Linked DNA regions of Tamandua tetradactyla. The protein of the gene in region 1 binds, or shares a complex with, the protein of each later gene. Links are inferred from orthologs where the notes say so. Each region holds a gene or a part of one and is shown in the gene's direction. Other genes may lie near its edges. The genes, in order: MED8, MED26, CCNC and MED24.

What was found.
Region 2: MED8 (region 1) and MED26 share a complex: the UniProt entries of both Homo sapiens proteins name them as parts of the mediator complex. The link is inferred for Tamandua tetradactyla from reciprocal best matches to the Homo sapiens genes MED8 and MED26.
Region 3: MED8 (region 1) and CCNC share a complex: the UniProt entries of both Homo sapiens proteins name them as parts of the mediator complex. The link is inferred for Tamandua tetradactyla from reciprocal best matches to the Homo sapiens genes MED8 and CCNC.
Region 4: MED8 (region 1) and MED24 share a complex: the UniProt entries of both Homo sapiens proteins name them as parts of the mediator complex. The link is inferred for Tamandua tetradactyla from reciprocal best matches to the Homo sapiens genes MED8 and MED24.

The regions. Positions count from the first base shown.
Region 1 is NC_135328.1:180,670,998-180,678,377, forward strand, and holds the start of MED8 (mediator of RNA polymerase II transcription subunit 8), read left to right. Parts: upstream 1-4,372; 5' UTR 4,373-4,399; coding exon 4,400-4,480; intron 4,481-5,718; coding exon 5,719-5,837; intron 5,838-6,535; coding exon 6,536-6,680; coding exon of another isoform or gene 6,681-6,697; intron 6,698-7,380. Other genes in the region: KICSTOR complex protein SZT2, read right to left, coding at 4,252-4,278. UniProt on the Homo sapiens protein: Component of the Mediator complex, a coactivator involved in the regulated transcription of nearly all RNA polymerase II-dependent genes.
Region 2 is NC_135337.1:95,127,171-95,135,109, reverse strand, and holds the start of MED26 (mediator of RNA polymerase II transcription subunit 26), read left to right. Parts: upstream 1-4,923; 5' UTR 4,924-4,965; coding exon 4,966-5,037; intron 5,038-7,939. UniProt on the Homo sapiens protein: Component of the Mediator complex, a coactivator involved in the regulated transcription of nearly all RNA polymerase II-dependent genes.
Region 3 is NC_135331.1:157,138,844-157,146,343, reverse strand, and holds the start of CCNC (cyclin-C), read left to right. Parts: upstream 1-4,496; 5' UTR 4,497-4,779; coding exon 4,780-4,811; intron 4,812-5,614; exon of another isoform or gene 5,615-5,644; intron 5,645-7,500. UniProt on the Homo sapiens protein: Component of the Mediator complex, a coactivator involved in regulated gene transcription of nearly all RNA polymerase II-dependent genes.
Region 4 is NC_135332.1:27,220,000-27,226,885, forward strand, and holds the start of MED24 (mediator of RNA polymerase II transcription subunit 24), read left to right. Parts: upstream 1-3,868; 5' UTR 3,869-3,932; intron 3,933-3,945; exon of another isoform or gene 3,946-4,036; intron 4,037-4,292; 5' UTR 4,293-4,373; coding exon 4,374-4,503; intron 4,504-4,587; coding exon 4,588-4,670; intron 4,671-6,886. UniProt on the Homo sapiens protein: Component of the Mediator complex, a coactivator involved in the regulated transcription of nearly all RNA polymerase II-dependent genes.

The DNA.
Region 1 (7,380 bases):
TCATATTATTACAAGTTCTCCAAAGGAAAAGAATGAAGTTCTATGATGGCATGTAACAGAGTAACCTAACCCAGGGCAGGGTCTGAGGAAAAGTGACCTGAAGGTTGAGCATGGGTTGCTAAATGAAGAGGGAAAGGGTATTTAAATGAGCACTGTACTATTAGAAAACTTTTTTCAGATTGCAAATTTTTAGTTAGTAGGTCACTCCATTCTACTACCATACATCTTCCATTTTTCCACTTTGTCTCAAAAGTTATTTAGAATGATGAACTGACTGTCCAAGGTCAAACAAACTGAAGTCTAGTTCATAAATCAGTTCTATAGAATCTACCCTCTTGAAGCCAAGAGCATTTGTCTAACGCAAGCTTTCTAGCAACATTCTCCCTTCTACATTATCCTTCAAAATTCAACAACTATATTTTTCAAACATAATCCCTAAGTTCCCTTTATATTTAAGATGTAATTTATCAGAACCAGAAAACTTAAGAACTAATTTTAAAGCACCTAGAATGGCATTTTTCATTCTTGGGCTTATTAAAAATGCACATTCTTAGGCACCATCCCAGACCAGCTGAATTAGTTGATGGGGCTCAGGAATCTGCATTTTAGCAAGTTCCCCAAGTGATTCCTTCATATTAATGTGTGAGAAGCCCTAAATTAGCTGTGTTCTCACTCCATCCACATTCGTGTGCAGTTTCAAATCCCCAATATTTAATACTCCTTGAGTTCAAAATGCATTACTCTTAGAGCAGTCTGACAAAGAAGACAAAGTAGGGTTTTTGGGGTGTGAGATTTGGATTCAAATCTGGTTTTATTATTTGCTATAATAGGTGACTTTGAACAAGTTACTTAATGTTTCCAGGCCTCACTTTCTTCACTGATAAATGTGGGCCAGAACATTTACCTTGTAAGGATGTTGTTGCAATGAAAGGGGAGTCAGAATAATGATAAAAGAAGCCTATTGGGTCACGGTGGCTCAGCAGGTAAGAATGCTTGCCTGCCATGCCTGAGGACCCGGGTTCGATTCCCAGTGCCTGCCCATGTGTTAAAAAAAAAAAAAGACGACTATCATCCTTTGGGGCATTTATTAAGGCCGACATATCATTAATACCAGGATGAATACCACACTGTCAGGAACTGTGTTGTATACCATGTGCACCAGGATGAATGAAACCTTGCCCATCTCATTAGTTTGTTGTTTTTTTGTATTCCCCCCTATATGATTAAGGTCAATTAGTAGTAGTAGTAGTAGTAGTAGTGGTAGTATTTTGTATGCTGTATGGTGGGGGTAACGTTTCATTCTTTTTCCATGTGACTATCCTTTTATTGCAGCACCATTTGTTGATTTTTTTTGGGGGGGGATGCATATATGGGGAATCAAACCCGGGTCTCCTGCATGGCAGAGAAGAATGATCAATTATTTTTTTGAACTTTTTCCAACCTTTGTGCTATCTTCTGTTAATAGACTCCCATTGAAATAAGGTAGTTTTTTTCTTTTGAATTGTTTGAAGCCTCCTTGCCATTATATTTACGCCAAAGTCCTGAATCTCCAGCACAGAGTCAAAGGAATCTTCTCCAATCTCAGCCTCATTTCTCACCAATACACCTCCCACTCCTGTCCCCAGGTTAAGACCATGCACTCTAGTGCTAGAGCACATAGGATCAAATGCTGGTTCTGCTGTCTATTAGCTGCACGACTTGATAAGAGTTATTTAAAATGCTCATGCTTCAATTTCCTCATCAGTGAAATAGGGAAAATAGTACCTATCTCCTGGGTTTGTTAAACTGGGAATTAAAAGATACTTAGTAAGCACTCAATAAGTGTTAGCTATTTTCATTGTCACATTGTATCCATGCTAACAGCTGTTTCCTCTCAGTTCCCTGAAAGCTCCAAGCTTCTTCGCCATTCCCTTTACTGGTAGTGCTCCCTAAACTTTCTCATAGGCAACTTCCACCCATTAACTTTCTCATAGGCAACTTTCACCCATCCTCAGGCTTCAGTTTAAATGTCATTCCTCCAAGAGGTCTTCCCTGAATCCCACCCCCTACTTAACAGAGTAGTTAAGAGGCCCTATTAAACATTCTCATTCACTCTGTATTTTTCCTTTGCAGTGCTTATTATAATTCAGTATGTGTTTACTCCATAAAGATAGGAAATATTTCTGTTTTATGCAGTTGTATCCATCCTGATACCTAGCACAATTCTGAGTCTATAGCAGCACTCATGAAATATTTTAAGTCTTTGATGAATGAATGATTTTCTAAATCTAGGGCATCTCTCTGACTATGCCCAATCATCCTCTCAGGACCATAACAACCTCTAAAAGTCAGTCACATTTTTTATGCCCAGGGGCAGCTCTCTTCATTTCCTTTACCTTCTAAGATAAAATTTTCAGAAACTCAAATCAAGAATTCAACAAATGCCTAACTTTTGGCTGAATGGAAACTCCCAGGAATGTGTGTCTTAACACCAAGTTACTTTAGACCTGCACTGTTCAATACAGCAGCCACTAGTCATATGGAACTACTGAGCATTAGAAATATGGCTAGTCCAAACTGAGATAGATGTGCTATAAGTTTAAAACACAAACTGGATTTTGAAGACTTGGTACAAAAAAAGAATGTTAAACATCTCTTAATTTTTTATATTGATTATATGTTCACATGGTAATATTCTGGAAATAATGAGTTAAATGAAACACATTATTAAAATTACTTTCACCTGCTTTTTACCTTTTTATGCAGCTACTAGAAAATTTAAAATTATGCCTGTCGTTTGCATATGTCTTTTGGACACTGCTGCTTTATTAGATTGTCTGCCTAAAAAGATATGCTGTATCTCCCCACTATATCCCTCCATTTCCTCTCATTCGAATCCATCCCTAAATGCAGTCCAAATTGTCCCATGGTTTCTCTTATCATTATTATTTTTGAAGCATATGTGGGTTACTTCACCATCCCAGTGAACATGTCAGATTCTTTTGAATAAGGCATAATTTCTATAGTCAGTCTCATCCATCTCCCAGTGAGCCAGAGATCTACCATACAGGGATTACAATTTATTGTTACAAACATTATGGTTAACACAGGATCTAGACTTAAGCCACCTGATTTTGAGTCCTGCTCCTGGCTCACCATTTGCTACGCAACTTTGTTACTTTTATATCTCTGTGCCTCAGTTTCTTCAAATATAAAAATGGGGATTATATTTAATCCAAATATAAAAATGGGGATTTTATGAAAAAGCTACTTCATATACAGTTGAAAGAATTAATTGATTTGTAAAGTGCTTAGAATAGTGCCAGGCATACAGTAAGTATTCAATAAATTAATGACTACATTTATATTATTACACACATCCCAGCCCCTTCCCACCTACTAGTACAATCGCTTGTAAAACTCAGCACTTTTCCTGGTGTGGTTCTTTCCATATCTAAGAATTCATGCTAAGTATTATTCTAACGCCAAAATCTTCTACTACCCAGGTGAATCGTACTGGAGCAAGGTAGTTAACCGTTCTCACTGCTCAGTTTCCTTATCTGTAAATGAGAATAGATATCGTCACGTTCCACGCACAAGTACTGAGTGACAAAATGTATATAAGTTCCTTGTATAATAATCCTTAGCATCTAGTAAATACTTCAAACGCATTTTCTGGTGTAACCCATCTGATCCTCGCAACGCCACATAAGGTAGATACTTTACAAAGAAGGAAACAGGATATGGGAAGATAAGACTGGCCCGAGGTTGCTAAATGGCAAGGCTAATATTGGAACGCAGTCTTATTCGACTCAAATGTTCTTTCACACAAAGCAGAACTACTTTTCCAAAAACCATGAGTGCTAGAATTATATTAATTTATTTGCTTATGGCAGTACAACTTTTAAAGAAATGCAGACACCGGCAAAGTAAGCCTACTATCGTGTTGTCACTGAAAAAAAAACACTAGAAGTTCAAACCACGGGCTTTGTTAATACCACTAATAGAATAAAGAGCCCTAAAAGCATTAGACCGGCGACGCTGATGAAATTTCAGTTAAAAAAAGCACAAAAATTTCGCCTCGAGACCCCGGGAAAGCTGCAGACCGCGGTGAAACGGTTCCGTTGTCAGGCCTTCCGGGGTTGGGCTGGTCCCTGCCAAGGAATACGCTGCCGGGCCACCCCCAGGCCCCGAGGAGACCACGACAGCGCCTGTCCGCCGAACCCTCCCACTCGGATCCAGGGATCCAGCGCTGGGCCCGCCCGCCCCTACCTCCGGCTCCGGGTGCTCCGAGGCCATCACACAACCCTCCCTCGACTGGGAACGCCGGTCCACCCTCGACCCCTGACCCGGCTACTCTACCCGCGACAGGATCCGGAAGTGAGTGGGAGGGCTGAGTCCCAAGTTTCCTGATTGGTGAATGAAGCCCTTCCAGAGAGGCTCGCGGAGTTGGAAACCGGAAGAAGAAGTCGGTGCAGCCGCTACTGCCATCGCCATGCAGGTGAGAACTAGGTTGGTCCTGTTGACAGCCGGCGAACTTCGGTTACTGTAACCGAAAATGGGCTGGCTGAGGAGAGAGTGTGGAGTTCGCTGTGTGAGGCGGGGGCAGGGTCGGTTGCTGATGAGTAAGGGAACGCGGCATGGGGGACCAGGCAGACCACTAAGATAAGTGGGCGGTGCAGATGAGAGATGGGGTGGGGCCCGGCTGATAGGAGAGAGACTGCTGCTAAATTCAGAGGGAGGAGATAGCACTGACTTGTTTGGGTGTAGGAATGAATTAATTTGTAATGAAGAGTCAGAGATGCAGTCCAGAGAAGACTTCTCAAGAAATGGTGTGTTGACGCAGACCCTAGCCTAGGTTGAAATGGAGGCTGTTCTCTGTAAAGAAAACTGGAGAAAAGCCCGAGGGGGAAAGGAATTGTGGGGAAGCCAAGCCATTTATAACCGAGGCCGTGGCATCAATCCAGCATCAAGGCTCTTGTCAGGCATATTAGCGGGTTTGCAGGACGGTTTTGCATTATTTTTCCTAGGCGGTTGATTGTTAAGGGTGAAGAAATGGAGTAAAATAGGATGCCACAGATGGAAAGAAAACGCTTCGCAGACCCCAAGCGTTTAAAATTGCTCATCTAGTGCTTAGAAGCTGGTCATTTGTGGAGTTTCATTAGTCATTTAGTTTCTTGCACCTGGTAGTCTTTTAGTAAATGTTTTTAGGTTGAGTGAGCTTATGAAAGAAGCATAGGGATGCTGGCATATAAATAAACAAAATGAATGTAAATTGATTCAGCAAGAAGGAGTTTGAAAGCAAATAAAGAACTGTGTTGGAGGTGAAGCTTATGGGCAGGGCTGCTGTTCAGAGAATGCATCAAGTGTAGGCAGATTTCCCAGGGATGTGGTCAGTGTTAAGAACAGCTTACAAGGCAGATTGTTGGTTAAAGGAAGTTGATGTACATGTGTACAGAAGGCAATGAGTCCCACGGAGAATAGAGTACCTATTACGTAGGAAAACCAGGCATGGATTAGGAGGTGATGAGAGAAAGGAATCAGATGGTAGGAGGATTTGTGGTAAGGTGAATAGGTTGAAAGTTCTAAGGGTTGATGGCATCTGTAACCAAAATACCAAAGACAGAAAACAACCTGGCTCATCTCTGTTACCTCACCAGGTATTGTCATGTCTTCATCTGTGTATGTTGACATAGTACATCAATCTGGGTAGCCAGCTTTTTTTTTTTATTAATGCAGAGGGAAGAGAAACAACTTGAGGCATCATTAGATGCACTGCTGAGTCAAGCAGCTGATCTGAAGAACTCACTGGGGAGTTTCATTTATAAGTTGGAGAACGAGTATGACCGGCTGACCTGGTAAGAGTTGCCAAGGTAGGCTGGGGAGGGCTGTTTAGTAAGTGTGGAACTGGGCCTTCTGACAGGTAGGTCAACTCTGATGCTGTAATCATTTATCAGTTTGGAAACATCTTTTGATTTGTGAAGAGCTGGGTTTCCCAACATTTAACATTTGGAGTTTGGTTTAGGGCCTCAGTGGCAAGGAAATAAAGAGATGTCCTGTTTCCCAACCCAGGTTCTTGCTAGGTTTTGATTCTTACCCTCTATCTTTTCTGATTAGGAGCTTCTCTCTCAGCCTGTCCACTTTAGCTCTATTCATGCTGGACCCGTTGCCACAAACTGTGGCTGGGTCTTTTAGGTCCAGTCTTCTCTGGAAGTGTGGATCCTGTTCCAGGCTGAAAAAGCAGCTTTTACCAAGTTTCTGAGTTTTTAGCGATAGTAGTGAAGTTGTCGTTTCTATTTTGCCACTGTTCCTCAGCCCATTCATACAATGAACTGTCTTTTACCTACATCTTTGTCAGAAATTGAAACTGTGTCCCTCTTTCCTACATCCCTGTGAGCCAGTCTGGCTACTGCCCAAAATCAGTCATAGGGCCGTGAGTCTCTTTGGGATGAGCCTGGATATTCCTAGTCTGAATAGGGGCTACTTAGAGGCTACTTTACTGGAAACTACCTGAGGGAAGGAGGGGAACTTTCTAATACTTTCTTACTACCCCCAGGCCTTCTGTCCTGGACAGTTTTGCCTTGCTCTCTGGACAGTTGAACACTCTAAACAAGGTCTTAAAGCATGAAAAAACACCACTGTTCCGTAACCAGGTCATCATCCCTCTGTTGTTGTCCCCAGACCGAGATGAAGATCTTATGGTAAGAGGAGGAGAAAGGTACACTTTCGAAATTAAGTTCTTGATTGAGAGCCATGAACATAATTGTTGAATAGTTATAGAAGTTCTGAATATGGAATAAAGAGTGGCAATAAAAAGTGTGGGCTGGAGATGACTCCCAGGGATGAGTTCAACCCTGTACCATGGGATCAACAATTCCATCCTGACCAAAAGGGGGAAAGAAGTGTAACTAATAAAGTATCAGTGGCTGGGAGAGTTCAAATAGAGTTGAGAGGCTACTCTGAAGGTTGCTCTTACACAGGCTTCAGTTAGACATTGCTACCTATCATAACTTGCCAAACCCCAACCAAACCATTCCAGCCAATCTTAAAGAACACTTAGGGCAAAATATAAGATCCTACAAAGATTCCGTGCACTAGGGTAACTTTCCAGAAAACTACAACCTCCGGATGGGTCCCTGGACCAGATAACTCCTGAAACCTAGAAGGCCCAGCCTGGCCAGAACATCAGCTAGTTCCATCACCCTACTCCATATTACTGACAGCCCCTTCTAGCATGAAAGATTTAGCATGACCGTAGCCAATACCCTTAATGTGTAGGATAGAAAGATCAAAGGTGATGGTGGAGTAATACAGAGAAGGTAGGGTTTAACGTACAGAAATGATTGCTGAATCATTAAATTGATATTGTTTTAGTCTCCAGTATCTTATAGCAGCTAGAAG
Region 2 (7,939 bases), on another chromosome or scaffold:
CCTTGCATTGTCCCGTTTTCTCCACGAGAAAATCGAGGCTAGGGCTGGGCACTGCCCACTGGAGTCATCGGGGGTCATTGGCAGAGCTGGATGTGAACCCAGGTGCCTGGACTCTTCTCTTCTGTCGACACTGCTGCTTCCCTCACTGGAATCTTCAGATGTAGGGAACTGGCCATCTTGGGCTCAGGGGACCACTCTTTGGGCTCACATCATGGGGTTGCCAACGAGGATTCGGTGAGATGGTGTAAGGAAAGGCCTGGCAGTTGCCAGCCTACAGAAGGGCCTCTTCTGAAGGCTGGAGCACCATAGGCATTGCAGAACTTAGAACTCTCTGGAGTTTAGAGTCCTAGCTTGGGACCCCCCCTATTTATTGCCCATGATCCCTGTAATATTTCTGTAGCAAAACATGTGCCCGTTGGAACATCGATGCTGTGTTGCCAAGTCAAGAAGATAACCTCTGCCACTGGATGAGCTTGCTGCAAACACAGGAAAAGACTTTGCACCTCTATAGCTCTGCAGATTGGGGAGTCGCACGGGGGTGTGGACCCATGCCTTGAGAAGTCCTCCCTTTCCTTTGGGACCCAGTGCCTTCTCCGTGACAGGAGCGACTTGCCAGGTAACCCCCCGGTCACATGTCCCTGAGCCATGTAGAGCCAACTGCGTTTGATGTGAACACCTGTGGGAGCACTTTACCTTCCCTGCCAACGTATTGTTTTTCACACTGGGATGCAATTCCCACCTTCAGTTTTGAGAAGTTCCACTGGCCAGTTGAGGCTCTTCTAGTTTTTGCTTCTGTCTGCGCCACCCTTGTGGCATCTCCTGTTTTTCAGCATCAGCCCCCTAGCCCCTCTCTGTGTCTGCTGTCAGGGGTGGGGTTGGGGAGTGCCTCTAACTGGTTTGTGTTTTTCCCAAGACATCTGGGAACGCTGAGATGTTGGCCCATTGCAGTCACCATCCAAAATCCAGAATCCAAGTCACTTAGTTGGATGATTGGGTATCCAGCGAGACAGGAGCAGAGAAAACCTACTGATGGGTGGTGAGATAGAAGTCTATCCGGAAAAGTGGCAGTGGTTGTGGCTGAGAGGGCCTCACAGGGTAGACAGAGTGCTCGGACATGGCAAGGTGCAAGGCTGCTGAGCTCTGGGAACAGAGGAGCAAGATGATGCCAACCATGCAGCAGCTTGGGGAAGCCAAGCAGGTGAGACCAGGCACAGCACAGGTGAGGGGCAAAAGGAACATGCCCAAGACACATCACAAAAGAGAAGTCGAGAGGAGAGGGAGCAGGAGTTGCACAGCCTTTGGGCCAGAGAGCACAGTTTTGATTCAGAAAGATCTGCCATGGGATCCCAGCTGCATTTGGGATGTTAAGTAACCTGTAAACCTCAGGCTTCTCCTCACCTGTAACTGGAGGATGCGGTCGTAACTGTGTTTTGGTTTATCTATTGCTGTGTTACAAATCCTCCAATATTAAGTGGCTGAAAACAGCCCTTGCTTAGGCTTGGTTCTGTAGGCAGGACGGCTCAGTCCCTGTGGCCAGCTGGTTCCTTGGTTCTGCTCCACAGAAGCCCAGGCCTCCCCCTCTTGCTATGTGGCCCCCCAGAATTCTCCAGAATTCTCACGAGGCACCTTGGTGTGACAAGGCCTCCTTCTCTTTTTTTAATTCACAATTTATAATTCACATACCATAAAATTACCCGTTTAAAGTGTAATTTCAGTGACTTTTAGTATGTTCAGAATTGTGCAACACTCATTAAAATCTTAATTCCAGAACATTTTCATCACCCCAAATGGAAACCACTCACCAAGTAAGCAGTGTTTTCCACACCTGACTCCCCCAAGCCCCTGGTAACCTCTCATCTGTGTTCTCTGTGGTTGCCTGTTCTGGATCTTTTGTTTGAATGGACGCATACAATATTTGTCCTTCAGTGTCTGGCTTCTTTCACTCAGCGTCATGTCCTCAAAGTTCATCCATGTCATCGCATGACCAGAACTTGGCCCCATTTTATGGTTAATTGATACTCCATTGAATGGACAGACCACGTTTTGTGTGTCCATCATCTGCTGATGGTCATTTGGATTGCTTCCACCTTTTGGCTATTGTGACTAATGCTGCTATAGGCACTGGCATACAAGTCTCTGTGTGTGGATGCTTTCAGGTTTCTTGAGTAGGATTCCTGGGAGTTGGATTGCTGGGTCAGGTGGTAACTTCCAGAACTTCTTATGGCTTTAGCCTGGAACAAGCAGAGCATCGCTTCCACTGCATTCTTTTGGCTAAAGCAAATCACAGGTCCAGCCGTGTCAAGGGGAGTGGATGGCACAGGGCCTGCATACGGGGAAGTGGGCTTCCTGGGGGACCCCATGTGAAGTCCTCAGGGCAGAACCTGATATGTACTTAACAAAAGCTACTCCTTGCTTTTATTTTCTTTATTACTAACAATAATGACCCACAATTGGGGCTTCCACACTAAGGAAGACACAAACTGCTTGGATATAGGTGTACACTCATTGATGTCAACCTGACAGCAAATCCATCACCTCCACTTTGGAGGTTATATTGGCATGCTTTCTGATTAGTGCCAGATTCAGGTGGTAAGAGCTGTGACACCTCCTGGAGATCATGGGCTGGTCCCAGCGCTTGACATACTAGACGAATAGGGGCAGTACATGCTTGTTCTAAAAAATATAGAATTACAGGAAAAAGTAAAAATCACCTGTCATTCTACTTGCTAGTGATAACTACTCTGTTAAAGTCAGGCCACAGACATGGGTCAAGGTGGGGTAGTATATTTTGGCACATTTTTCCTACTAGTTACCAGTGTCCTCCCTTGCCTTATTGGGGGAAGTCCAGTAACTTCCCCTCTAAATAGCCCAGGGCTCCCAGGGTCCGGCTGAGGGAGTCTGGAGAGGCACAGCCCTGCTCTCTGCAGGAGGGAAGTATTGAGTGCCCTCCTACCATGGCTCCTGGCAACACGTGGCACCGCTGCTGAGGACTGGGCCAGCGCAGCCCTGGCAGCCGGGGTGCCCTTCTGCTCGTGCATCTCCTGATTCCTGCTTGGGCCCCAGTCCCCTCCTGCCAAGTATGTCTCCAGATGCCCTGTGTTCGTGCTCCTGGAACTTCCTCCACAGCCACCTTTCCAGGGCATTAGCCGGTCACGGACTCCAAACCACGGGCTCTGCTTTCTTGGAGCTGCTCTTGAAGAGGCGTCTCCCCCTTTCAGGGGCATTCCAAGCACAAAAGATCTTGTCCTCTCAGGACACTGGGGCCACTGGTCTCTGTACCTAAATAATGGTCACATGGTCAGGGAAGAACTATTACCAGAAGAGGGTTTACATCACGCCCCACCTGTGCATAACTGACAGGCGCCGTTGGAAGTCTCTCTTCCTTGAAGCAGGTCCGTCCTGAACTTCGGAGAAGCAGCGGACATTTCAGGACTTCTGTCCAGCGGCTGTCTTATTTCATCTATTCCCCCTTCTCTGTGAAATGTTAAATGCGGAGTAAAACCGTGTGTGCGTGTGTGCATCCACGCGTGTCTTATCTATACAATCATCACGAAAAACTCATCGAGTCTCGCTGCGCCAGGCCCGTGGGACCGAAGGTGTGCACGTGTGTGTGGGTATGCACACGGTCACGGGCTCCTGACGTGCTCACTCACCTACCCGAGTCTCCGACGTGCCCTGGGGATAGGGCGGCGGGTCAGCGCCCTCACGCAGGTTCACGGTTAAGGTTCTCCCTAGTTTAAAAAGAGCAGGTGAGTTGTATTCTCCAATATTTCTTAATTTGAACCCCACAAAATAAAAGGTTTACTTCTACGGCACTATCGTTATCTATGCATGTGTAAGCTGTTATTCATCTGAGTTAGAAACCAGGAAGAGGCACGCGGAATGGACCCCGGGCAGGGCTGGCGGGCGAGGCCGGCGACCCCCGGAGGCCCAGCTCCGGCCCGCAGAGCGCGGCGCTCGGAGCCGGCGGGGGCTGGGGGCTCGTCCCGCGCGCAGACGCGGCGCTCCTGCCGGCCGAGGCGGCCGCCCTCCCTCCCGCCGTCCCGGGCTCCCGGGGCCGCTCTGCCCGCGCCCGCTGGGCGACCCTGGGCCTCAGCTGCCCCGTTTGTGACGCGTGGGCCGGGGAACGAGGACGTCAGTTCTCCGGCGTCTCCCAGCGAGGCAGGCGCTGGGGTCCTTTAAGCCTCCTTCGGGGCGCTTCGGGCAGCGTCGGGAGCCGTCTGGGCCGTCCCGCGCGGGGAAGGGGCGGCCGGTGGCCGGAGGCACGGTGCTGCTCCATAGAGCCCGCCCGGCCCGCGTGGCAGAGCCCCGCCTGGGGCGCAGGGGCGCGGCCCGGGCTCTGAGAGGCTGGTGCACCCCCAGCTCGGCGGGCAGAGCCCGGCGCCGCCGCAGGCACCTCAGGAGCAGCGGCCAGGACGCCGCGAACGTTTCCGACGGCCCGGGCGGGGGCGGGGCCTGCTGGCGGTGGCCGTTGCTCCGCCCAACCGCCTCCCAACGGCTTCCCTCGGCCGGCCGGCGGGGCGGGGCGAGGCGGCGGGCGAGTGCGCCTGCGCGCGCGTGCGCCGACGCGTAGGGCAGGGCGGAGCGCGCGGCCCCTCCCTGGCCCGGCGTCTCCGCCCGCCCCATCTCCCAACCTCCTCAGCGTGGCGCCGACGCTGCGTACGGCGCGGGTTACCCACAGTGCTCCGCGCGGGGGCAGCTCACTGGAGTTTGGTTCTCGAGGCGGCGGCAGCGTCGGCGGCGGCTCCGGCGGCTCCTCCTCCTCCTCCTGCGGCGGCGGCGGCGGCCCGGGCCCGAGTCCCGGCCCCGGTTCCCCTCCCCCGCCGCCCCGCGCGTCCCCAGTGCCCCGGCACCGCAGGGAACATGCGGCTCCGCTCCCGGGGGCCGGCGAGTGAGTGACCCCCGGCCCCCGCCTCAGCCCGCCCGCCCGCCGGCCCTGCCGCTCCCCCCCGCCTCGCCCAGGCAATGACAGCGGCTCCGGCGTCTCCGCAGCAGATCAGGGACCGGCTGCTGCAGGCCATCGACCCCCAGAGCAACGTGAGTACCAACCTCGCGGGCCGGGACCGAGGCCGCGTGGGCCTGGGACCCTCCTCGTCCCCCTCCCCCGTGCCCCTCGCCCGCCCGGCCCCGGGGGACCCGCCCGGCGCCCCCCTCCCCCGGACGGTCGCTGCCATCCCGGCCTCTCGCCCCCCTGAGCCCAGGCCAGGGACAGATCGGGCAGCCCGGCGGCGCTCGGTACGTGAGGCCGAGGCTTCCGTGCGGCCTGGGCGGAGGGAGCAGACGGGGGCTGACGCCAGAGCTCGGCCTTTCCTCCTCCTCCAGCTCTCTGACCCTCGCTGCTCTGGACGCGGCTCACCCGCCTCGCCTTCACCCTGGGATCTGAGACCCCCGAGAAGCCCTCCCTGTGAGGGCATGAGAGGGAAGCAGTCTGGGTGCAACTGGTGTCCTGGGCATGACTCGGGGTGCCCGTGTCTGCCCTGTGTCGGCCTTCTGGGTGATCAGAGAAGTCCTTTCTCCTCACGCTTGGGAGTACCTTCTTGTTTTCGGAAGGAATCCTCTCCTCCCCTCCCTCCTTGCTTTGCCCCTAGCCTGGTGCCCAGGCCCTGGCAGAGTCCCCTTCCGTTTTGTGACTGGACCTGCCTTTGTGGGATCCCTCTCGGGTTGTTGTTGTGGGAAGATGATCTTGGGGAAGGTGGGATTCTTCCTGTGGCCTTCCTGGGTCTGACTGACCTGGCCAGAGCTCTGCTTTTTGGGGGTGAATTAGGGGTGGTGGTTTTCTCTCATGGTCCCCTCCCTTTCCCCCAACCTGGGGGTCCCAGCCCGGTGATTTGTGACCTCTGTCTCAGGATTGTCACTTTCTCTGTTGCTCCTCCCCAGAGGCTACTGTTTTGCAGAGGTAACCCCCTACTCCGTGTGTGTGTGTGGGGGGGGGTGTGGGGGGACTTGCTGTGCTCTTCCTTGTGCTCCCCGAGGCACATTGGCAGAGGGGGCACTTCTCTCTGGAGCAGGTGCAGGTTGGGCAGTGGGAGGATGCACTGAACTTCTGCGTTTGCTGGCAGACTAGGAAGTGGCCATTGAGATTACTGTGTGGTAGGCTGGAGATGGAAGGAAAATCATCTTGGGCTTGGCCAAGTAACTCTGTTTTCTCCCCTGTAAGAGTTCTTGTTCTTTTGTGACTCTGGCCACTTCTTCTCAGCAGTGTGTTTTGGTCTGGTAGTTTGGGAATAATTCACACTCAGTTGTGCAGTTTTGCTAGAAGTTGAGGGATTATGGTCTTTGTAAGGCTCTGACTTTGGTGTCTTAAGTCATTCTCTTATCCCTCTTTTTCAGGTCCCATTAAGATTGACTTGCTGATAAATTGTCTCAAGCAAATGTGTACGGTTTTGTTATGACTTTGGGGGTGGAGTAGGCACAAGCTATATAAAACCTTCCAGAATGTCCTTTTTTGCAGTAACTGATGCTACTGCGGTTCTTAAGTCTGAAATATTAAAAACAAGTGACATGAAAAATGTAGCTTTGGTGAGTTTTGCATCTTTTGTCAAGCCAGAGTGTAATTTCTTGAATTTCATGTGCTTGCTTCTCTCGGGAGAGAAGGGGCTGCTAAAATGGTAGCGCTGACCCTTAATGCCACCTAGGAGAGCTTAGGGTCAGGAGGTGCTTCAGGACATGTGGGCCATGACGCTGCACATCAGTGCCCATGACCTTGGAGGGGCCCCACTGTTTTGTAAGGCTCTAATCTAAAGGGTTCAGCACAGATTGGGAGAGTATAGGGAGAGGGGCTAACGAGGGGCGGAGAGAAAGAGTGAACCTTAATTTCGTGTGCCTTGGCATATGCATAAACATTATATTTATACAGATCTGCGGTTGCATTGTGAGGTTTGGAATTCAGATTTTGACTCTGGTCATAGCATGGTTGAGTCCTAGGGTGATGGATGGGGTTGGGGAGTTGTGTCTCTGAACCCATGAAACTCGATGGAAGTGGCTGTTTTAAGTGTTATCAGTGACTGGGTTCGACCACAATGTGGCTTTGCCTGAGCCCCATGCAGAAACTTCGCAGCCCTGGAGAGATGGTTGAGGGGATGGTGGGGAGGCCTGGTGTGTCCATGGGCCTGCAGCACCTCCCGGCTGGCCTGGACATGGGCGGGAGCGGGGGTCCCAGCCTCGGCATGGCTGCCACGTGGCTGTCTTGCCCAATTAGGAATTTCAGTTCTGGATAGGTGGTTGACACATATTTAAGATGTGTGTAGGAAAAAAAAATGGGGACAGTGTTGAAGAGCCCACACTAAAATTAAACCTCTTCTGTGAGAAGTGATGAAAATTGTGTCATATAATGTTTACCTTTATGGACACACAGTTATGGTTAAGAAACTTAGATTTTGCTTGAAAATTCAACCTTGGACAGCTGACCTAGTATCCATAAGTATCTGCAAGGCTGGGGAAGAAACAAGAATTAACAGAGTAACATTTCCTGACTACCTTCTTCATGAGTTCCTATGAGGAAAGTTGTTTTTTGTTCTAAATTCCAGCCTCTGGAGTATTTGAATTTCTACAGCAGCAGGCTCTGAGTTAATACTTTCCTGCCCACTCAGAAAAAGTAAATCCTCAGCACTCTTTTTCAAAAAGCAGTTCTCAGTTTTTCAGACCGGTTGAAGCCTTATTCTTTTCGGGCTGTGCGTTAACCTAGAGCGCTGAAAATGTTCAGCCGTGCAGCGTGCAGTTTGTCCCAGCTTAATTCCTGCTTGTGAATGGAGTCGAGGGTCCTGTCGTTCTCTTGCCCAGAAGCCACAGTGTGTCCACTGGCCATCGGAGCCCAGTGTCCTCAGCAGGTGATGGGGCATTGGTGTGTCTCCAAAGCTGTTGTTTCACTCAAGTACGAGCTCTCTCTTCTTGACTAGAATGCAGGCTCTGGGGCATGTTTCACTTCTTTTCTTCTCCCAGC
Region 3 (7,500 bases), on another chromosome or scaffold:
TGTCTTCCTTACCCCTGTATTCTGATCCACTTTTTCCCAACCTGATTGGCTTCATTCTTATCTCTAACTGAAGCCTGATCTCTTTTTCAATTTACTTAACCATTGTTGTATGTGGCAATGCTGATTTTCACATCACAGAACTCCTTTCCTGAGTCTTAGTTGTTACACAGGTACTGAAAGTTCTAGGGAAATACCATGTTATACATATACATAGCACAGCCTCTCAAAATCTAAAAATAACAATTTTCTTATAACTGTTTTCTAAATGAAACCATACAATATTTGCTCTTTTGTTTCTGACTTATTTTGCATCACATAATGTCCCCCAGGCTCATTCACATTGTTGCATACCTCATAACTTCATTCCTTTCTGCAGCAGTACAATATTTGATCATAGGTTTACAGCATAGTTTACAATTCCATTCTCAGTGTATCCTTCAGCCACCTCCATCCATTGGGCATCATGTATAATGTCTAAAGTCAACAGTCCATCTCTTGCATTGTCATCACGTACTGGTATGATCATCAACAGTTTCAACTTTGGACAATTTCCATTGCTACCAAGAGAAAAATAACCAATAAACACACTCTCACCAAACAGAAAATCCAAACCTCCCCTTAACTCTTGTCCTTCCCCCCCCCCCCCACCAAATATTTACCCCTGGTATTGCTGTGTACTGTTGATGTCTTCCTGTTAAATATAGCCTATAACATGCAATAGTAGTTTTCCTGATATTATAAACTTTTTGTACAAGATTCATACCTCTGCAGTAGTTCATGCAAAAACTTATTTATATTTGTAGTGTTAATTGGTGGGATACATGGCTCTATCCAACCTTTTTCAATCACGTTCACCTTCAATATGGCAATATCACTTACAGACCCACTTATGAACAGCCTTCACTACTATCCATTCCCTTACATTTAAGTTCAACCTCACCAGCTAACTGTTCACCCATCTCTAGCTTCCATGTATCTCTAGGTCCCCTATATTCTGTATTATAAGCCTCTGAGTTTACCTTTATCAAGGTCATAACAGTGAAATCACACATTAACTATGCTTCTGTGTCTGGCTTCTTTCATTAGCATTATGTCCTCAGGCTCATCCATCTGGTCAGGTGCTTCAGGACATCATTTTGTTTTACTGCTGTATAAATATTCCATTGTATGTATATACCACATTTTGTTCATCCATTAATCTGTTGATGGGCACTTGGATTGTTTCCATGCTTTGGCAATTGTGAACAATGCTGCTATGAACATTGGTGTGCAAATGTCTGTTTGTGTCAGTGCTTTCAGTTGCCAGGTCATAGGGCAACTCGGTATTTCATTTTTTAAGGAGCCACCAAATGGTAGATCCTTTTTATAATTTCTATATTTTTATCAAATTTTTCCTTTGCTTCATTTATCATTTTCCTGAATTCTTTTAGTTCCTTTTTCATATTTTCCTTTAGCTCATTGAACTTATTGAGGATAGCTGACAACATATTTTTGGTAGTAGTTCCAATATCTGAACTTCTCAGGAATGGCTTCTATCACTCTATTCTATTTCTTTGAATGAGCTACCTTTTCCTGTTTCTTTTATGTCTTCTGATTTCTCATTGTAATCTGGAGTTGAACTTTTAATGTGCTAACTCTGGAAATCAGAGTTATTCTCCCCTTTTTCTAGGTTTTTTTTTTCCTCTTATTAATACTGAAGGCTGTAGTATTATGTGTTTAGGGATTTTTTTCCAAACCATGCAAAAATTATATTCTTTGACATGTAAAGTCATTGAAATCTCTGTTCCTTTAGCTTATATTCAGCTTGTGGAAATATGGAGATTTTCTTACATAAGGGAGCCAAGAAAACAAAAGAAATAACAGAAAAATACACCTCACCCAGTCTTTGCAGATTGCTTTCATGCTGGGACTCTCTTTCAACACTCAGCCAACTTTGCCCTGAATCTAAAGAAGAGTCTGAGGAAGATGCTTTGGGTCCTGTCAGGTTTTTCTGAGCACGTATCTAGCCCTGTGAGTGTGCAGGGCCTTGTACATCCCCCCATATAAATGGACACTTCAAATGTCCTTCTTTCCCAGGAAATCCTTCGCATCCTTTCCTCCCAGGCCCAGAAGCTCAATTGTTTATCTCATCTGCATAATATTTTGCCTCAAGCAGACGTGCTTTGATTTTCTTAAAGTGTTTCAGTGGCTATGCCTGCTGCTTCTCCATCTAGATTGAGTTCTGGGTGAGACAGAGAAGAGCACCAGTCTTTCAGGCTGCCATCCAACACCATAGAATAGACATATATACACCCTAATCTGTGAATAAGAACAGAATCAAGTGGTAGTCCAGTGACAGAAACAAAGTCTAATAGGAGCCTAAAGATTAATAATACTGATAAATAATATATTATTAATATTTTTTTGGTGATGCCAGGCCAAGGAAAAAACTCTAAGATATTTGAAGAAATGCTGCAACCTTTTTGAAGCAGCCTATGGTCTGGTGTTTCTTAAACCAGTGTCTTACAAAATTTTTTACTATGATCCACAGTGTAGCAGACAGTAATGTTCATCACATATACTACATGATCCTTTACATTTCTCAGCCTCCTTTGCAGTTAAATTGGAGTCATGTGCCTATTCTGGTCAATGAGCTGTTGGAGGAAGTGACTGTGTTGTTTTTGATTAAAGGTTGCATACTTTCTTTAGATAGATTATAAGCCTGAAAGCAAAGAATGTCAAGATGGAGGAGTTGTGCATGGGACATGACTCTCAGGGGTGTGGACCTTCCTGGCAACGTGGGACAGAAATCTTAGAATGAGGTGGGACTCAGCATCCAAGAATTGAGAAAAACCCTAGAATGAGCTGAGACTCAGCATCAAGGGATTGAGAAAATCTTCTCCACCAAAAGGAGGAAGAGTGAAATGAGACAAAGTGTCCATGGTTGAGAGATTCCAAACAGAGTTGAGAGGTTATCCTGGAGGTTATTCTTACGCATTAAGTAGATATCACCCTGTTATTCAAGATGTAATGGAGAGTCTGGAGGGAAGTGCCTGAAAATGTAGAGCTGTGTTCAAGTAGCCATGTTTCTTGTAGATGATCGTATAATGATATAGCTTTCACAACGTGACTGTGTAATTGTGAAAACCTTGTGTCTGATGCTCCTATTATCTACCTTGTCAACAGACGAGTAGAACACATGGAATATAAATAAAATAAATAATAGGGGGAGCAAATGTTAAAATAAATTTAGTTTGAAATGCTAGTGATCAATGAAAGGGAGGGGTAAGGGGTATGGGATGTATAAATTTTTTTTCTGTTTTCATTTTATTTCTTTTTCTGAATAGATGCAAATGTTCTAAGAAATGATCATGATGATGAGTATGCAACTATGTGATGATATTGTGAATTACTGATTATATATGTAGAACGGAATGATCAAAAAAGGAATGTTTGCATTTGCTTGGTGTTTTTTGGTATTTAAAAAAATAAAAAATAAAATAAAATAAAAAGATGGAACAGCTGTAAGATAGAAACAGACTAGTTCCCTGAAGATCTGGAGGACTCCACCAAGAAGGGCAAGCTCACTCACTTTATGGAAGTCACATATAAAAAGAGACTTTATGGAAGTCACATATAAAATACTTTTATGTTAAATCATTGAGCTAAAGGGGGAAGGATGTTACCACATTTTAGCCTGGTCTAGTTTATCCAGACTAACTCACACAGTAATATATGCATTTCACATCTTGGAGCACTACATATGTCTATACATAATTGAATAAAAAATTGTAAAATGACAATTATCTTTCTTATTTCTGACATACTGTGAGCATTTCTATTCTACTTAATTTAAAAAAGTGTGTGCCACATTCACTAAAATAATTTCACATCTTATTTGTTCTCACGCTGTGGGAAAAATGTCTAAGTTGCCTCGGAAAACTGGTCTTCTATGAACAACTTCCAGGTGTGTCCAATTATTTAGAAAAATAATTAGTTTTGAAATAAATGCAATGTTACAATGATAATAGAAAAGGAAAATAAAGAAACATGATTTTATTTCATCTTATAAAATATTGCATTTTTTTTGCAGTATTTCTCTTTAATGCACATATATATGAAAATGTTTGGGGATGTTCTGCAAAACTGGTGGGTCTCAGGTATAAGAAGAAAACACTTGCTCTAAAAGTTTGCTCTTTTATCACTCCAAGAATTCCACTAAGAACGCATGGGGTTTGATGCCCGCGGGTCTTAGTAGGTCCGTGAAGCCAAAACAAAATTCATTTATTTCTCTTTTCAATCCCGCGGGGGATTAAAATCTAGTTAGAAAATTACCGTGCTTTATTACAATAACATCGAGAGGTCCTGTAGGCTTTGGATATAAACTAACCAATCAGAGCTAGACGCTTCTCCCACGTTAGCCTAGCAGAAGCGCCAACCTTACAGGCTTTAGGCCCGAATCTATGAAGCTCTCGCGAGAGCCTTCCGTCCGCCGTGACCCTTCGTAAGCACCAATACCAACTCCGGCGCGGCCACATGTCGTCTCCTCCCCGCCGGTTTCCTCCGCTACCATGGGGCGGGCCGGAACTTTTGTCCTTAGGAACGCGTTTACGCAGCAGCGTGTTGTCGGCCGGCATCTATGAGAACAAGGTGCCGTCCTCTTCCTCTTGCCGTAGCCGCCGCGGAGCGGAGCCGAGCTGATCAGATAGAAGAGTGCGGTTACCCGGCGGGCTGGGTCTATGGTCGCTCCGCGGGCCGCTCCGCCGGCTGGTGTTTTTTTATCAGGGCAAGCTGTGTTCCATGGCTGGGAACTTTTGGCAGAGCTCCCACTAGTAAGTGTTCTCGGTTTTCCCGCCCAGGGTCCGCTTTTGGAGGGCGATGAGGATGGGGCCTGCCACTTCTCGCAGCCTGGATCCCGGTTCTTGGCCCAAGCGCGGCAAGGTCTTCCCGAGAGGTGGCAGCGGCCGGAAGCGGGATTCGCTTTTCAGAGGCTACTCTCCTCTCCCCGCCCCCTGACCGGGTTTTGGGGGAAGGATCTGTGAGCTGAAGAATGGGTCTAGGAGCGATCCCCGGAAAGCATGGTTAGGAGTGTAATTTAAGGTTGTTGGATTAGCTAGGCCCGTGGGGATAGGATGGTATGAGCACATGTATGGAAAGTGTGTTTCAGTTCTGGACTGTGAATCTGGCTCCTCAGGATAGGTGATGCTCGCTTTTGCTTGGAAACTCTCAGAGAATGGGACAGTCGTTATCCCTCTTCTCTTGAGTGGATTTAATAATACTCCAAGGAGAGGAGGGAGTCCAGTTTGTTTCTGCTCGTTAATTGATTCCTGCCACTACTCTATGCCTAGATGGAGTTTTATGCTGGTAAGGTATAGGGCAGGTGCTCTGAAACTGTATCTGTTTCTTTAGTCTGTCTTGTATTTTGTTTTATAAATATATTTTCCAGTGATTTTATATGCCGATTTCATTAACCTTTTTCATGAGTAGGTTTTTGTTTCTGTCAGCGACCATTGGAAGAGCTAGAGTAGTATTTAAAACATTTCTCTCTGAATACATTTGTTTAAGCAGGTAGGAAGATGGATGATGGACTTATTAAACATTGATTAGACTTTCCATGTGTAGGTGAAAGATGAACCGAACCCGATAAAGAAAAATGTATCTTAGAGTAAGTAATTTTTAGTACTTAGCATTAGGAACTGTAACTTTAAGATTCTGTGACTAATATCAGTTCTTTTTGTTCATTTCCCTCTCCCCCCTTTTTTTGGCCCTTTACAGAGGGGGAAAAAAGGAACAATGGGCTTGGAAAACTGTTTTCAGAAAAGCAGGTTTTTCTCTTATCCTAAAGCGATTGGAGATGAAATGTTGTAAGAGCTACACTTCTGATTGTTGCCATTTTTATTTTGTGTTTTCCACTCGCTGAAATAATTGCTTGGGCAAAGTTAAAATATAGAAAGTTTAGTCTACTAAACTTTGTAGACTTTGAAGAAAGCTGAAAGAACTGTTGATTGTGAAAAGTTAGAGCAGTTTTTCAACTTAAAAAAGTAGATCCTGCCCCCTTTTTTGATATGCATTCTTAATATGATTTTATTTGCTGTTGTCCTTATTAAAACAATCGTTTTTTACTTCTCGGATGCAAAATTATAATGTGAAATGTGCTTTTTAAAAACCGTACCTACCTCCCAATTCAGTATTCCTGGGGGAAGGAACCTCTTTACCTCACTCAACTCCCTTAAGAATCATGGAGTCCCTGATCTGCAAAAGGTGACAAGTATGAAAGACAAGACAATCAAGTCTGGAAAAACAGGATTATGATAAGTCACTGCTTTAGGTACACAGCAAAGATTTTGGTGAAAGAGGAAAGTTGACATGCATCTCTGAAATCAGCATGGCAATTTTTTTAGTAGCACATGAAATAATGCTGAGTCTTACAATGAATGGAATCCTTGATTTGAAGAAATACAGTATTTATTAATTTGTTTTTTCCTCCCTTTAAAGTGCTGAGGGGAAAACTTTTTAAAGATTTTGTGAAATTTATCTCATAAAAGGACTTTGTGGAGATAAAATTAATGATAATCCCAGAATAGAGCACATCACATTCTACTCCAGAAAATTTAAGTAGAGCAAAACACATCTTCTGATGATACGGCTGTGAAACTGGCACTAAATAAATGTTTGCTGGTTGCTCAAATAAATGAAATGAGCAGGTAACAAAAATAACCAAATTTGGTTACTTTATTGTATCAAAAAGTAAACTGAAAATACAGTTACATTGTATCTAGAAAATAACATGAGATCAGTATATATCCATATCTATGGAACATAGCCAAAACTGAACTTTACAAGAAAATTAACATCCTGAATAAAAATAAGCCAAATACTCTATTTAAGATTATTAAAAATAAAATTGACATATAAACCTAAGGAAAACAGAAAGAAGGACTTAACACATACTAGTGTATTGAAAAGGGGAAAAGAGGTCAGATTTTAAGAGCTGGTTCTTTTAAAGGGAAAACTAAAACAGTAGACCAGAAACTATTGCTAGATGTATCAAGGAGAAAAAAGAATGTTCTAAAAATACAAAATGACATTTAATAAAATTTAGCATGTATTCTTGATTAAATTTCTTACTAAAACAGAAATAGGATGCTTCCTTAATATGATTAAAACAGCAAAGCATCAGCAAGAGATAGTTTAATGGTGAAACATTAGCAAAATTAGGGTACCTATTCAACATTCTGCAAATGCTAGTCAATGCAGTTAATAAAATGAGATAAAAACAAAATTATATTTAGAGATAATTAATTGGAAAACTGAGTTCATTGAAAGTTGTTAGAGACAGTACAGATTTCAGGTGATCAGTTACAAAACAAACTTAAAGGCTTTTTACTAAATAAATGATAGAAAAATGTCAGTCACAGTAGCAACAGAAAATATAAAGTACTTAAGAAAAAACTAATGTACAAGACCTATAGAAAGTTTGAACTTTAATATTATTTTTTTAAGTATTTGATGTTGTATGTC
Region 4 (6,886 bases), on another chromosome or scaffold:
CTAGAGGGAGAAGAAGAAGGGCTGTGGCTTTGTCTTTATTCCATCCTGGCTTGCTTACCACATCTCTCTTTGAGCCAGTTCCTAAAGATGTTGGGTAAAGGAGACATTTTTAAATCCTAGAGCCAGAGCTGTAGAAAGGAAGCAATTCCTGAGTTACCTTTCCCCCTTGCCCCCCCCCCCCCATCTCAGGGGCAATGTAGGGCATCTTGAACTCAAACACAAAGAACTCACCATTCCCATCTTTTCTTCTTACTTCTCTCTCTCTCCTTGGCTCCCAATATGGGCTGGTGGCAGACTTAGGCAAAGGCAAGGTGAAGGACACACTGCCTCCAAAGCAGGCATCTTGCCAGGTGCCAGGAGCCAGCCCAGGTTGGGTTTACAGCCCCTGCCCCTGGTTGCACTATCCCCCTTCCCAACCCCACTCTCTTACCCACTCCCAGTTTCTTGAAGCTTCCAGCTCTTCTCAGATTCTGTTCAGTCCCAGCTCCTGTTCTCTACTGGCCATGAACCTCACACCAGGTCTCCATTGGCACCATCCCCTCCCATCCCCCTACTTCGCTTCACAGCAAGCCCTGGGTCTGTGGGGAGAGAGGGAGGGTGGAAAATGAGTGAGAATAGATAGGGACCCTCAAAGGGGATTTGTCTGACAGCCCCCTCCCTCTTAGATTTTGGTTGCCAAGGAGGCAGCAGGAACAGCCTGTTCTCTGGGCTCCCACTGAAACAGCATGCCCAGACTCCTCCCTCTCTTCCTCCCTTCTTTCCTCCCTCCCTTCCTTTCAGCTGTTGCTAGGAAGCACCCCAAGATTTCTTGAGGGTCCCACCCCTAGGAACCAGGGGGTCCAGATATCCTTCTCAAAGCTTCTCCCCAAAACTGGCATCCAAGCCCGCACACAGTGTCCTCATCCCTGCCAAGAAGCCTTGCACATCCCAAGCAGTTTAGGGGAGCAGGGACAGGCCCTCTGCCAGTCAGCCCTGGAACGAGCTCTGTGGCCCTGGCCTTGGCGATTTCCCTCCTCCACCCCTTCCCATCTCGCTTGAACCTCTTAGGCTCTGGGTGATGTCAACATGTGGTAAGGAGGTGTACAGCAGATACCCTTTGGCTCCACAGACACAGCCCCACTCATTGGGGTGCTCTGGAAATGAGACACCATCAGCTAAGAGAACCCCAAACCCAGATGTCTCTCTCCATTAGTGTTCTCCAAATCAAGAAGAGATGATGGAAATGGAGAGGAGAGGGAGAGGGAAAGGTCGAAACAGTTATGTGGAGTTGAGAATCAAAGGTCCAACAAAGATGAAGGACTGGGAAATTAGCAAGCAATCACGCAGACAAGAGGAAAGTCACAACTTTACACTTAATTCCCCCCTTTCAATCACCTTTGTCCCATCAGGCACCCTGGTCCTGGCTCATGAAGAGGTGCCCAGGGAAGGGATTTGGGTCTTGCTGAGCCTTGTTTTTTCCCTAGCTGAGGTGAGAAGTGGAAAAAGAAGATAATTTCTCAAGGCTGCCTTTCAGATTTATCCCCCTGTATTCATTCACTGAACATATTTTTTGAGTGTTTAATATGTTCCAGATATTGGATCCCCCAAACTTTCCCAACTTCTGTTTTTGCTTTCCCAGAGAGCTCCCTTATCCTTCCCTTTGCCAGCAGAAGAAAGAAGTGGCGGGGAGGTCTCTATTTCCATCAGGGTCTGCATCCCTGCTACAAGAGTTGAAGGTGAAGATGAATCACTTTGGTGTTGAGGCAGAGTTTAAGAAGAAGAGTTACAAGGGCCTGGAGGGAGGGGTGGTGCAAAGAAAGTAGCAGACTGGCCCCCCTTCCCTATCACTCTCCCCCTGTGTGCTGGGGGCGTGGAGGGAGAAGGTGTCCTCCAGGGTGTTAGAGAGGAAACAATTCATGATTAGTTCAAATTCTGCCTTTCACTGTCCTGGCCAGTCTCTTTCTGGACTTCTTGTGGGAAGTCAGGGACAGGGAATTGTGGGGAATTCAGGGGCTGTCCTTGAGATGGAGCCACCTTTTAGGCCCCTCCACCCTCATCTTTTCTCCCAGATAGCTGGAAAGCTGTGATTTGGATTTGGGAACTGATGGGGGAAGGAAAATGGTTTGGAGCCAGCTGTGTATATAAGTGTGTGGGATGGACTCGTTTTCTCTTCCCTCCACCTGCTGCCAATTAACTTCCTATAGTGGTGAGACCCAGGCAAGCTTCTAAAGAAAGATGTTCCTGTTAGGGGAGGGTAATGGCAGTTTTCCGATGGAATGAAAGTAAATGAAACCCTCTGTGCCTTGTATGCTTGCCAAGTATTTCAATCTTTCTTGGGCTTTTGGGGCTAGACACTTGGTTCTTTTCTCTACTAGCCTAAAGTGTTTCCTTTCCCTTGGATATCCCAAATCCCTGGGCCTCACAGCCTTTTCCCCCATCCCACCCCCACTTTGATCAAGCTCCTTTTCTGCCATTGCTCCAGATGTTGCCATGTTATTCTGCCTTGCTGTCCCCTCTTCTCCAGCCAGATCCATTCCCCCGCCAGTCAAGCCAACAAGATGAGGAAGTTGGGGCTCAGGGCTAGGGAAGCAGAGGTGAGAACACAGCCACTATCAGAGCTGAGAAGGAATGGACAGCCAAAGAAAGAGCTCCCCCAGATTCATCCTCCAGGGAAGTGATTTTTGCCTAAGGGGAGCTAAAGGATGGCTGTTGGGAAGTTTGGATAGAGCTTGGATGATTGCCTCCTCAAGGTATGGGATAGTGGGCAGGAAAGAGGGGTGACAGACCACTGACTGGGGGTCTACATGTTTACTCTAGTTCCTAGTTGGAGATGTTAGGGACAGTCTTGTCCATAGGATAAGGCAAGGCTGAAGGCTGTTTACAGGGTGCGTGGCATTTGCTTTTGGCCTTCCCACTGCTGGGAAAGAAGGGCTGGACATAATTATCTACAATAGTACTCCTTAAGATAAGTGAGATATCAAAATTAAAAAAAATAATAATTAACTTTTAATTTTAGAATAGTTTTAGATTTATATAGAGATTGCAAAAATAGTACAGCAGGTTCCCACATAACCTACACCCATATCCCCTTTTATTGAGTCTTACATTAATATAGTACATTTGTTACAATTAATGAACAAATATGGATCCATTATTTGTAACTAAAATCCATGATTTATTCAGATTTTCTCAGTTTTTACTTACTGCCCTTTTTCTCTTCCGGAATCACAACCAAGATGCCACATTGCATTTAGTAGTCATATCAACTTAGGCCCTCTTGGCTGTGACAATTCCTCAAAATTCTAGTTTTTGATAACCTTAATCTCCGTTTCCATCTTCCTTTCCTCTTTACCCCCTATATTTAAGGGGTATAGATAGAGGGTTAGGAGATTCTGAAGACTCTCAGATTTGGGGGGTGAAATGGGTATGTTAGTGCAACTAGCAGAACTTCAGTGTCGCTTCTGGGATACAGGCGTGAAAACGAGAAAACTTTGGTAACCCAGGAGCTTAGAGGGAAAAAAAAAGATAAGGAAAGCGTTGGAACCTATTGCTGAACACTAACACCTCCACTATGCCTATGAACCAGTGGGGGATGAAAAGGTGGCGGAATCTGATTTAAATACCCTGTCGACAGTGACGTCGTTGGGCGACGCCTGACTGCTGGCAAGTTTTCGAGAGCCTCCCACCCTCCACGTTTCTGTGATGCCCAGCTTAGAAGTTCTCCTTCAAAGGCGAGAAACAAAGCAGGCCTTTTAGATTAGTCCTCAGCTTCATCTCTAGCCCGGACAAAGAATTTCCCAGTCCCGGGAACTACAATTCCCAGCAGACGTCGCGGCGGGCCTTTCGCTTGCTGCATTCCTGTTGGCTCATACTTGTTATTCCCAGCAAATGAGAAACGAGCTCTTTGACATGTGCCAAAATGGCGCGATGTGGGCTCTGAACTGGCTTGTCCGGTAGGTTTAAATTGGGGGAGTTAATGGATGAAAAGGAAACAGTGAATTACAGTTTCGGGGCTGGGGAAGATGGGGCATATGAAGTGTCTCTTTTGGGTGTACTAGTGAGTGACGGTCGCAGTCGGAGCTAAGGGTATAATTAAAACAACCGGAACTGGCCGAACCCCTTACTGCTCTGGCTTTACTTCTTGTATTGACTCCTAGTGCCTCAGTCCAAGAAAGGTTAGGTTGGGAGGGAAGAGCCTAACAGGATCCCTACTTTGTCTCCTTCGCTTTTATCCTTCTAGTCCTGCTGTCCCTTCTATCTTCCTGGTCTTGTCTATTTCGTTTAACTCTGCCCTCCCCTTCATTTTCCTCAAGAACTTCGTCTCTTGTTCTGTAGCTCGGTTTATCCTACTTCGGAGGGGGCCGCTAGCGGCCGCGCCTCTTCAGAGTGAAGTTATGAAGGTGGTGAATCTGAAGCAAGCCATTTTACAAGCCTGGAAAGAGCGATGGAGTGACTACCAATGGGCAATCAACATGAAGAAATTCTTCCCCAAAGGAGCCACCTGGGATATTCTCAACCTGGCAGGTCTGAAGTGAAATATGAAGGAAGGAAGGGTGGGATGAACCCAGAAAAATTGTAACCACTCAGTCTTTGTTTTTCCCCTTGCAGAAGCACTGCTGGAGCAGGCTATGATTGGACCTTCCCCCAACCCTCTCATCCTGTCCTACCTGAAGTACGCCATCAGTTCCCAGGTAAACTGCCTTACCTACTTCAAGGAGTGGGAGATTGGAGGTAAAAAACTTGCAATACCATGGTCAGCTCACATTTCTAGGTGAATTTGTCTGAACAGATCACTTTTCTGAGTCTCAGTTTTCTCGTGAAAATAGTAATACTTCACTAGTTGTTATGAATATTGCATTCACTATTCTGTCAATAAATAATGTGCTGGACAATGGATAGGCCTTGGGGATTTAGTTGTGACAAGACCTGATAAAGGATCTCAACCCACAGCACACGTTTAGTGGGTTATATAGACCAGTAAATACTGTCAGTCACAGGATGAGTTTATTAAAGAAGTGCTGCGGGAGTATGTGGGAAGGCACCTAATCCAATCTCAGCAATCAGGGAAGGCTTTCTGAAGGAGGGGGTATTTAAACCAAGACCTGAATATTGAATAGGAGTTAAGCATACTGAGGAGGCTATGCAAAGGGGAGAGAAAAGCATATGCAAAGACTGAGAGGCAAAAATCATATGATGTTGTTTAAGAACAGAAAATAGTTTGGTATGGTTTGGCTAGAGCCCTGGTTCTCAAACTTTTTAGTTTTGGGGCTGCTTTACGTTCTTAAAAATTATTGAAACCCACCACAGAATTTTTGTTTATGTTTATTGTATCTATCCATATTTACCATTTTTGAAATTAAAATTGAGAAACTTAAAAAAATGAATTCATTTAAAAGTAACAAAATAAATTAATTACAGGTCAATATAAATATAACAATATAAATAACATCTTTTTAAAAAATAACCATATTTTCCAAAACAAAAAATGTTAGTGAGGTGAGTGGTATTGTTTTACGTTTTTGCATTTTTGCAAGTCTCTTCAATGTCTGGCTTAACAGAAAACAGTTGGATTCTCACATCTGCCTCAGTTGTCATGATATGCTGCTTAGTTAATGTATAGAAGAAAATATGGCCTCACACTTATAGGTATTTAGTTAGAAAAGGGAGTATTTTAACAAGCTTTTTGGACAACTTGTATATTCTTTGAAGCTACACTAAGATTTAGTAGGTGATGTGAAACCATACCAATGAACTTTATACTGTTACATTAAAATACATTGGGCTCTTCCCTCCCTTCACCTCACTTTGAATTATCCTCTGCTCATGTGTGATTTTGTAATATCATGAATTGGTCATTTAGAAAGTACAGGTTACTGAGTTGTAGAGGTATTCCAATTGTTGACACATTTTGTTATATAATATATGTTATGGAGTCTCTGGTAAACTCCACCGTACAGTTGTGAGGGAATGCGAGTTAAAAGGGCAAATAACATCTTAGTAGTATTTTAAAAAAGGGTTTTGACCTTTAGGACCCCCTGAAAGGGTCTGGGAAACCCCTGGGGGTCCCTGGACCATACCTTCAGAACTTCTAGGCCAGAATATCAAGTTCAAGAAGGAGACTGGTTTGGAGAGAAAGATAGCAGTTAGGTCAAAAAGGACTTGGTGAATGATACTAAGGAGTTTGTACTTTATCCTAGGATAATGGGTAATCACGTAAAGGGTTTTAAGTGGAATTGTGGTAAGATTTGCATTTTTAAATTAACATACAATAAAATACACAGATCTTATGTTCAATTTGATGAGTTTTTTTATGTTATTGTGGTAAAATCAATTGGATGAGTTTTAAAAATTGTATATACCCATGTTACCAACATCTAAAAATAAGACCTAGGATATTTCCATTCTCCTAAAAAGTTTTCTTGTGTCCCTTTCAGTCCATTACTTTCTCCCACAACCACTAAATGATTTCTGTTACCATAGATTATTGTTGGCCTATATTTGTATTTCATAGAAATGTGAATACTCTGTCTTCTTTCACTTAATGTGTTGGGAGATTCACTTAATGTGTTGGGAGATTCATCTATATTGTTGCGTATGTCAGTAGTTTAGTTTTTTCTTTATGCTGAATACAAAGTTCTTGCATATCCTTTTCCCGCTTGGCATTATGTCTACTTGTTAGTGCATTTCCATGTTAGTGCACATCCAACTACCTTATTCTTCTTAAAATGCTGCATGATGTTCCATCTGTACTGTGATTTAGCAAGTTCCCCAATGATGGGCATTTAGATTGTTTTTAATTTTCTATTGTTATAAATAGCACTATACTGAACATCTTTATATTCACCTTTCTGCCTGTCTTGGAATATTTTTTTATTATAGAAATAGAATTGCTGGTTTTAAGAGTACA